Macaca mulatta: one gene and its partner. The main gene of each other region encodes a partner of the protein of the gene in region 2 in a complex. Links are inferred from orthologs where the notes say so. Each region holds a gene or a part of one and is shown on either strand. Other genes may lie near its edges.

What was found. The genes of interacting proteins can lie anywhere in the genome.
Region 1: TREX1 (region 2) and NME1 share a complex: the UniProt entries of both Homo sapiens proteins name them as parts of the SET complex. The link is inferred for Macaca mulatta from reciprocal best matches to the Homo sapiens genes TREX1 and NME1.

Annotation. Positions count from the first base shown.
Region 1 is NC_133421.1:58,843,836-58,847,162, forward strand, and holds the end of NME1 (nucleoside diphosphate kinase A), read right to left. Parts: intron 2,518-3,327; coding exon 2,416-2,517; intron 1,384-2,415; coding exon 1,271-1,383; intron 813-1,270; coding exon 695-812; 3' UTR 501-694; downstream 1-500. UniProt on the Homo sapiens protein: Major role in the synthesis of nucleoside triphosphates other than ATP. The ATP gamma phosphate is transferred to the NDP beta phosphate via a ping-pong mechanism, using a phosphorylated active-site intermediate.
Region 2 is NC_133407.1:111,872,617-111,879,227, reverse strand, and holds TREX1 (three-prime repair exonuclease 1), read right to left. Parts: upstream 3,980-6,611; 5' UTR 3,850-3,979; coding exon 3,535-3,849; intron 3,482-3,534; exon of another isoform or gene 3,395-3,481; intron 3,077-3,394; exon of another isoform or gene 3,052-3,076; coding exon of another isoform or gene 3,040-3,051; coding exon 2,107-3,039; 3' UTR 2,062-2,106; downstream 1-2,061. Other genes in the region: SHISA5 (protein shisa-5), read left to right, coding at 1-76, 230-442, 617-696; ATRIP (ATR-interacting protein), read right to left, coding at 4,154-4,221, 4,624-4,876, 5,045-5,125, 5,571-5,662, 5,822-5,958. UniProt on the Homo sapiens protein: Major cellular 3'-to-5' DNA exonuclease which digests single-stranded DNA (ssDNA) and double-stranded DNA (dsDNA) with mismatched 3' termini. Prevents cell-intrinsic initiation of autoimmunity.

The DNA of each region.
Region 1 (3,327 bases), on a different chromosome or scaffold from region 2:
GTCAGTGTCTTGCTGTGTTGCCCACGCTGGACTTGTACTGGCCTCTAGCGATTCTTCCCCTCAGCCTCCTGAATAGCTGGAATTAAAGGCATGAGTCATTGTACCCAGCCTAATTTTTTTTTTTTTTTTTTTTTTTTTAGTGAGACAGGGTCTTGCTCTGTTACCCAGGCTAGTCTCCCACCTCAGCCTCCCAAGTAGCTGGTATCACAAGCACAAGCCAGCACACCCAGCCCTCATGTATTATTTCTGATGAATCCTCTGCACCTAGTCCAGTCTTGGCCATGTAGCAGATGCTCCATAGATGCCTGTTGAGTAGCTCCATGCCAAGAGTGGAAGGGACGCAGGGGTTAAGAAGGGCAGGCAAAGAATGCCTGTGTGTATGTGAGATCTCAATATAAATAATTTTTATAGTATTTACATTCTCTATTAGGTCAGGTTATTCAGTGTACATGAAAAGAAGAAAAAAAAATACAACAATACAAAGTAACCAACTCAATGAATCCTAAGTTGGGAGGAAGCATTTTAATCAGATGGTAGGGGATGGTAACACTGTACAGGGAGCACTCACAGCTCCAAGAGCTTCCTTCCAAATTATGACGAAGTTCCTTTAAATAACTAGATTTCCTAGAGCCTGGTCCTCTGCCCATGGGAAGGAGGAGAAATGGATGTGAAAGCATTGTAGCCTGCTCTCCTGTCATTCATAGATCCAGTTCTGAGCACAGCTCATGTAATCTACCAGTTCCTCAGGGTGAAACCACAAGCTGATCTCCTTCTCTGCACTCTCCACGGAATCACTGCCATGTATAATGTTCCTGGGTGGAGAAAGAGATAGTCACATGACCAAGACCAGAAGGATTAAAATGCGCCCATTGCCAGAAATCTACAGCCACGGCAGCATAAAAGCTGAAGCTCCATGGACATTAGACCATGTTAAAAGAAAAAGCCTACAATGGCCATTCATGTAAGGGTGAAAAATGCCCTCCCCACATTCAGCCCTCCCGGTCACACTGGTGCAAACAGTAAGAGCCTTCAGGAAAGACTGTGGCCAGCAAAGTGTGTTGTACCAGGTTCTACACTTCGTGTAACGGAGGTACAACTACAGTGATTTTAAAAACCAAAGCCAAACACCAACTTAAGGGGGAGGAAAACAATAAACTCCGATAAAATCAACCTGCATATGGTATCATGTCTACCTCCAGCCTCAAAAACCCAAATCCTTGTGGCAACTAAATCAGATTTTGGAAAAGGGGGAAAAAGAGCAAAATCTCACCTGCCAACTTGTATGCAGAAGTCGCCACGGATGGTCCCAGGCTTGGAGTCCGCAGGGTTGGTCTCCCCGAGCATGACTCGGCCTGTCTTCACCACATTCAGCCCCTCCCAGACCTCCAAGGACAGAAGAAGATATGGTCAAAGAAGAAAACCCATCTCAGCAGAAAATCTGGCAACTATTAATCCAAAAATAGGAAAAAATAAAAAGGCCCCTTAAGATGACATTCATTCACTGAACAAATATTTAGAGTATCCACTTATTCCGGCACTAGGGATCCTGGTCTCCCTGCCCTGATGCTTGCCTTTCTACAATGTACTCTCCATTCAGCAACCAGAGCAGCCTCCTTAAAATGCCAAGTGTGGGCAGGGCGCGGTGGCTCACACTTGTAATCCCAACACTTTGGGAGGCTGAGGCGGGTGGATCACGAGATCAGGAAATCATGACCATCCTGGCTAACACAGTGAAACCCCGTCTCTACTACAAATACAAAAAAATTAGCCGGGCGTGGTGGTGGGCACCTGTAGTCCCAGCTACTCAGGAGGCTGAGGCAGGAGAATGGTGTGAACCCGGGAGGCGGAGCTTGCAGTGAGCCGAGATTGTGCCACTGCACTCCAGCCTGGGTGACAAAGCGAGACTCCATCTCAAAAAAAAAAAAAAAAAGGCCAAGTGTGAAGTGTCCCATAGCTTCCCAGCACTCAGGAACTACATGGTCAACACACCCCTAAGAGAGGAGGCCCCTGCCCATGCCTCTGAACTCTTCACATCCCAACTTCTCTCCCACCCATCAGGCTTCGGGCATTTCAATTCTCCTCCCATACTTCAAAACGCCAAGCTCATTCCCACCCTGGGACCTTTGCACATGCTGTTTGCTTGGCTGGAAATGTTTTTCACTGTGATTCTGTACATAGCTGGCTGCTTCTTGTCATTCAGATCACAGCTTAAAATTTGCATTCTTTGATCATCCATTCTAAAGTGATCACTTGCTACTCCTATTCATTTCTGGGCCTATCACTAACCATTAGCTGATATATGAAAATAGATATCTATTTGGTCTCACTCATGACTGTATCCCCAGTGTCTAGAAGAGAGCCTAGCGCAGACGACAAGCAATGCATACTTGGAGTATCTCACACAGGCACACTCACCATGGCAACTACCGGCCCTGAGTGCATGTATTTCACCAGGCCGGCAAAGAACGGACGGTCCTTCAGGTCAATGTAGTGTTCCTTGAGAAGGTCTTCAGAGGCCTATTCAACAGGACGGAGAATGAGAATGGCCCCAAACCATCTAAGAACATACAATCCATGTAAATTCCCCTCATCCACCCTGCTATGTAAAACATGAGTGGTTGGGCTCACTGATTCTGTTATAACCCAATTCATTCTCCACACTGGAAGGGAGCAGTGACAGGACTAAAAGTACTTCTCCAATTTTATATCAATTGTCTCCCTATTGGCATTGACTGATAATAAAACCACAGAACATTAAAATTAAATTCAGCTATCTCATTTTTAAAAAACTCAAACTCCTGGGCTCAAGTGTTCCTCCTGCCTCAGACTCCCAAATAGGTAGGACTGTAGACACACACTACCAGACTTGGCTAATTTTTAAAATTTATTTATTTATTTTGAGACAGAGTCTCCCTCTGTCATCCAGGCTCGAGTGCAGTGGCGCGATCCTGATTACTGCAACCTCCACCTCCCAGGTTCAAGTGATTCTCCTGCCTCAGCCTCCCAAGTAGCTGGGATTACAGATGCCCGCCCACCATGCCCAGCCAATTTTTGTATTTTTAGTAGAAACAGGGTTGTTGGCCAGGCTGGTCTCAAACTCCTGACCTCAGGTGATCTGCCTGCCTCGGCCTCCCAAAATGCTGGGACTACAGGCGTAAGCCACCACGCCCAGCCATACCTGGCTAATTTTAAAAAATTATTTGTAGAGATAAGGTCTCACTATGTTGCCCAGGCTGGTCTCAAACTCCTGGACTCAAGTGATCCTCCAGCCTCGGCCTCCCAACGTGCTGGGCTTACAGACGTGACCCACCATGCCTGGCCCTCAAC
Region 2 (6,611 bases):
CTGTCTGTCGTCGCTATCATCATCTGCTTCACCTGCTCCTGCTGCTGCCTGTACAAGACGTGCCGCCGACCACGTCGTAAGTGTGCCTACCCTGCTCCACTGTGACCCCCTGGGATGGCAAGGGGAGCTGACCAGGCCCTGCTTTGGCTAAGCTGGAGGGATGGGTGGCAAGCCTGGCCCTAATACCTGGGGAGGTGGAGGAGGGTCCTCACTGGAATTCTCTTTGCAGCGGTTGTCACCACCACCACATCCACCACTGTGGTGCATGCCCCTTATCCTCAGCCTCCAAGTGTGCCGCCCAGCTACCCTGGACCAAGCTACCAGGGCTACCACACCATGCCACCTCAGCCAGGGATGCCAGCAGCACCCTACCCAATGCAGTACCCACCACCTTACCCGGCCCAACCCATGGGCCCGCCGGCCTACCACGAGACCCTGGCTGGTGAGTGCCCCTGCTGACTCTAGCCCTGCCCAACTCCCTGAGTATCTGCCAGCATCCCTCGGGCACCCATCCCAGAGTACATCACTGAATAGGCCTCTGCCCCTTTCTGCTCGCCTGCCACTCATACGGCAGCCCACCATGCTCACAGCCAACCAGGATCCTCTCTGCTTTCAGGAGGAGCAGCCGCGCCCTACCCTGCCAGCCAGCCTCCTTACAACCCGGCCTACGTGGATGCCCCGAAGGCGGCCCTCTGAGTGTTCTCCGACCTCTCTGGCTGCCACTTGGTTATGTTGTGTGTGAGTGGTGTGCAGGCACGGTTCCTTATGTCCCAGCCGTGCTGTGTGTGTCCTGCCTGTATATGTGGCTTCCTCTGATGCTGACGAGGTGGGGAATGATCCTTGCCAGAGTGGGCTGGGACCAGACTTTGTTCTCTTCCTCACCTGAAATTATGCTTCCTAAAATCTCAAGCCAAACTCAAAGAATGGGGTGGTGGGGGCACCCTGTGAGGTCGCCCCTGAGAGGTGGGGGGGTTCTCCAGGGCACATCTGGAGTTCTTCTCCAGCTTACCCTAGGGTGACCAAGTATGGCCTGTCGCACCAGGGTGGCGCAGCTTTCTGTATGATGCAGATGTGTCCTGGTTTTGGCAGTGTAGCCAGCTGCTGCTTGAGGTGATGCAGGCGAAGCTTGGGATCTGACCAAGTTGGGCTTTGATTCTTTAGGCAGATGTCCCATTGTTCCCTGGAGCCTGTGTCGTGCCTGTTGGGGGTCAGGCAGCCTCCTGATGCCAGAACACCTCAGGCAGAGCCCTTCTCACCTGAGAGTTGTCTGCCTGGACTGTCCCCTGTCCCTGCATCTTCCCTGGGACCACCCGGAGGGCCACATCCACACACAGCCTAGCTGCCCACAGGGAGCTCTGCTGCCCTTGCTGGCCCTGCCCTTCCCACAGGTGAGCAGGGCTCCTGTCCACCAGCACACTCAGGTCTCTTCCCTGCCGTGTTTTCATTTTATTTTAGCCAAACATTTTGCCTGTTTTCTGTTTTAAACATGATAGTTGATATGAGACTGAAACCCCAGGATAGTGGAGGGAAATTGGCTCAGAGGAGACGGACAACCTGGCAACTGTGAGTCCCTGCTTTCCCCGACACCAGCCTCATGGAATATGCAACCCTGGTACCCCAGTCCAGGGTGTTCTGGCAGCAGGGACACCTGGGCCAAGGGGCCATCTGGACCAAAGGTGGGGTGTGGGGCCCTGGATGGCAGCTCTGGCCCAGACATGAATACCTCGGTGTTCCTCCTCCATTACTGTTTCACCAGAGCTGTCTTAGCTTCAAATCTGTTGTGTTTCTGAGTCTGGGGTCTGTACTCTTGTTTATAATAAATGCAATCGTTTGGAGCTGCTGTCCCCTTTCTTCCTGGCTGCTGGGATTGGGATCAGGCTGTACTGTTTCCATCAACCATTCGGGCTTCTCGTGTTTTCCCTACTTTTATTGAGCTCAGATAGTTGATCATCCTGCTAGGGAAAGTGAGGGACAAACACTATGCCCTCCTCCCCAGGTCCCTGAGTGTGGGCAGAGGTCTGGACTGCCAAGAAGGGTAGGAGCCAAGTGACCACTCAGTGCTGGAGGACGGGGGGGGTCTTTATTCTTCAGATTTTCCTTCTTGGCCTATTCCCCAGGTGCAGCCAGGGATAGTCCATACAGTGTGGCCACTGCCAAGGTCAGGACGGCCAGTAGACCCAGTGGTGCCAGCAGCCCCTCCCTGGGTAGGGCTCCAGGGTCCTTCATTGGAGGAAGATCCTTGGGTCTCCTTCTCTCTCCAAGGCTGGGACTAGTGTTCCTGGTTGTGGCCAGGTGTGCAGGGGCTGTGACAGCAGATGGTCTTGGCTTGGTCCCAGCAGAGGCTGTGACCCCATACATGGGCCTGATGGTGCTGAAGGGCCTGGCGTGAGCATCTACCCACCGCAGCAGGGCCTGTGGTCTCCACTGACAGATGCTGAGCAGGGCCAGGACATCACCCTCAGCCGTGTGCGAGTCCGGAGGGGACTGCCCATACAGGCGTGTGTAGATGCTGCCTAGGCTGTAGCTCTTCCTTGGGCCGTGTTCTGAGGGGCTGTCTGCTCGCTCCACGGCCTTCAGCGCAGTGATGCTATCCACACAGAAGGCACCATCCAGAGCACTGGTGAGGCCCAGCATAGCCAGCTCTGCTTGGAGCAGGGGGAAGTCATAGCGGTCACCATTGTGTGCCACCAGGCACCAGGGCTGTGGCTGGCGCCGCAGGAAGGCTAGGAGCAGGTTGGCCAGGTTGTCATCGAAACATTGACGCCCATGCGCTGCCAGCACAGCTGTGCTCAGACCTGTGATCTCGCTGGCTGCAGAGCTGCAGGCTTTTCCCGGAGCCACGCACAGGGAGAGCTTGTCCACCACACGCGGTGGTGGAGGAACTGTGGGAGGTGGTCCCTGAGAGGTGGGGGGGCTCTCCAGGGCACATCTGTGGACAGCCAGCAGGCACAGCTCCGTGACCTTGGGCTGGGAGAAGGGCAAGCCAGTGGCCTCCATGTCGAAAAAGATGAGGGTCTGCATGGGCCCCGGGGGCAGGGCCTGCGAGCCCATGGTTGGGTAGGACCTGCCGCTGAGCCTGGGGAGGAGCATAGGGTGGGTGTGTGAGTGCCCAGTGTTAAGATCCGAAGGGGAGGGAGTGGGGTAGGGGGTGGGCAGAAGCACATCTCAGGCCTTCCCTGCACAATCCTGCCCTGTCTGTGAGCTCCAGGGCCCATTTTCAGGCAGGAAGTTGGAGAGGGTGGGGTGGTTTCCTTAGTGGGACCAGCACATTCGACTGTCTGAGAGGGCTCCCTCTTCACATGACTTGGCCCCTCCCCTAGTGCCCCCTTAGTCTGGGGTCGGGGAACCCATGGCCCTCCTGCCCTGCGCCATCCCCTTGGGGAGCCACACTTACCGTAGCAGGCAGGCAGGCAGGCAGTAGTGACTTTGCTGCACACTCTCCCGCGGCTCTCGCTGGCAGCAGTGGCGGGAAGTGAAACTTGGTATGGGCCCGCCTACAGCCCCACGTGAGCCAGGCCCGCCCTGCTCGTCAGCCTGCCTGGTCTGTCCCTCTCGCCAACATCCGTCCCCCCACCCCCACTTCCCCGCCCCCAGGGGACCCCAGAGGCCTTCTGAGATCCACGGCTGTGGCCTGATGGTGGCACAATGCACCGGGCCATCACACCAATGACAGGCAGCTGGAAGGACCAGGGCAGTGGCGCCAGACCAGCTCCCGGTGTTACACACTGCTGGGAGCTCCTGCTGCAGCCCTTTCGTGCCCACCTGTGGGTCCCACTTTTCCAGGCTTTCCTGGTTTAGGCCTGGGCCAAGAGCCACCTCCTTCCCTGCCACACAATGGTTTCTTCCCATGGCCCCAGCCCAAAGCAATGACTCAGGACAATTCCACAGGCAAGGCAGGGCTCCTTCCTCAAGGCAGATCGGTTACCATGGGGACTGGGGATCAGCAGCAGCCAGGGACAGGAAGAAGGATCCCAGCCACTCAAGGTCCCGTCCCGGTCCCGCTCCACCCCTCCCACTCCGCCAAAGAGATTAGACTCAGGAAACAAGGCCAGCCGGTTCTCTGGGCAGTTCCTGCTGGTCACTGCTTTAATCAGTTGATGTGGTAAGGAAAGGAATGGTGCTGGTGCCACCATGTGGCTGGACACTCAGGGCCTCAGCCACACTCCAACTCGGGGTCGTCCACATCGGTTTCCGCGGCACAGAGGTCATCCAGGGCTGCCTCTGAGACAAAAAGGAGAGGTTCTTGGTGAGGGCCCAAAGGTGCCAGGGCCTAGGGCGGGTCCCACCTCTCCTCCCCCAACGCCCGCAGGAACTAACCAGTCCCTTCCAGACCCAGGCCTTGCTCCCTCAGCTACTGCAAACAAAGTGATACAAAAGCAATTCAGACACAGGTATTTCTGGAAAAACTGTGGCTCTGCCAGGCACATTCAACAGATAGGAGCAAAAGGCAGCCCAATATGCTTGGAGAAGAACTGGGGCAGAAGATAAAAGAAAATGACCCCAGTGCCGGAACAGGCTGTAATGGGCAGGGGCCTGCTGAGGGGATGCCCAGGAATATGAGTTGTTGGGGAACCTCAGGGAGAAGCCGTGGGGGCTGGGCGGGAGGGCCTCTGGCAGGCTCACCTTCACAGTCGGTCACGTCAGGAAGCCCGCGGATGAGCATGCTGACCCCCGGCATCACCTGGTCATACTGATGCAGGACCTCCACGCAGTGCATTATGAAGAGCTTGTCCTTCTGGGACAGGCCGTGCAGCAGCAGCACCGTGTCCCGCAGACAGCGCACTGTCCGCCTCTGCTGGTCAGTCCTTGGGGGCCCACCTGCCCTCCGCACTGTCAGCCACTGTCTATGCAACATCACCGTGAGCGCTCTGACCACCTGGGAGAGAGGGGGCACAGACTGTCTGGTGCCACCATGGCCTGCACCCTAACAATCCATTCAGCCTAGCCACCTCAGGTGAGGGGGTTTGCAGTGGGGTCTACAGTCCTTGCACAGAGTCCCCTTACCACCCACAGAGCTGCCAGCTGTTGGCCCCTGCCTACTCACCTCTACATTACACTGGCAGTTGGAGCCAGTGACTAGGGGCAAGGGGCTCTGCACACCAAGCTTAGCCAGGAGCCACACCACCTAGAACAAGAACAGATCAGCTCCATCGTGGGCAGAAGAAGACCAGTCCCTGTGAGGGCTTTCTCAAGCTTCTGTAAGAGTTCACTTACTTCAGCAACTGCTTGTCTGCACAAATGGGGTCCAAGAAGTGGTGTGGGACCTTCCCAGGGCAGACCCAGGACGAGCACCCATGTCTCACCAGCAACCCACCTGCCTCCAGCCCCCCATCCTGCCCCCAAGCCCCAAAGCCAGGACAGGTTCAGTCATCAGGCAACTCTGCCAATTCCTGTCTGCATTGCATCTGTGTAGTGCACAGCCCCCAAACTGAGTTTACCTCTTTAGCTGCTTGATATACTCGTTACTAAAATGAACTAAAGCTCCTTTTCTCCCCAGTAGAAAGAGGAGATTCTGTCGGTTCTTAGGATGGGGTGGGGACAGTGTCCAGAAGGGGCTCTGGAGTTTTTACCTCTTGTTCCAGCTGGAGCCATTGTGTCTCTGAGGCCACTCTGTCAGGCCGTGATGTGATGTACATGTACAGCAGCAGCAGGAGGCAGTCTTCTGAAAAGGACAGTGCACCTCTCACTCAGGGTGCCCTTTCTCATGAAGAGCCTGGGCTACATGCTGCAGAAGCCCTCCGAGGCCCTTGACCCTGTCCCCACCCCAACACTTCCCTTGATCTGCAGGAGCAGTCCAGACGCCCGCCCCACCCTGCTTTACCCGAGTGGGAACAGAGCTGAGGTGCCAACTGGTCGTGGTCCGCAAGGAGGGAGAGGAGCTCAACAGCCAGCACCACGCCAGGCAGGGGTGTCTCTGGGCTGAGGCACTTTGGCAGCACTTGGAACACACACTGGAACCTAAAAGACAAGGACCCAGAGAGAAGTGACACTCCCCAACCACAGCTTCATAACCTACCCTCACATTCCACTAGAGGTAACAGAAAATTGAGCAAGGCAATACGAACAGGTGAGTTGGTTCAGCCAGACTTGGGTTTCAGTGCTGGCCTGACCTCCACTTACTTACTATGAAACTTGTTTCATGTGAACAAGCAGGCACTTCCACTGCAAGATGCTGCAGCTGAGAGGACAGGCCCTCATCTGGCATAGCACTGCCCAGGAAGTGGGATGACCTCCTGGACCTGGGATGCCTGGCTTCCATATGCTCCCAAACAGGGATGCAGGTCCTAACTTAGGTGGGAGAGAAATGTTCTGTGCCCATAGAAGGATCGGCCAGGGCTCCACAAGTGATAAACATGGCCTTGGCTATAGTTGGATCTTATGAGACCTCTTGCAGGGCAAGAAAAACCATTTTCTCTACTTGTTAGAAAACGTATCTGCTGCCAGTAGGAGAATGTGCCTACTGTGGGGTGTGCAGGAGGGAGGAGTTCTGGGCACACTGCCACAGGTCTCAGGGGCAAAAGGAAAGCTATTACCAAGAAACCAAGCCCCAAGGCAACTGCTGCTGTTTGCTAAACCCACATAGCCTGGAGAAGCACGGTGGACTGGCCTGG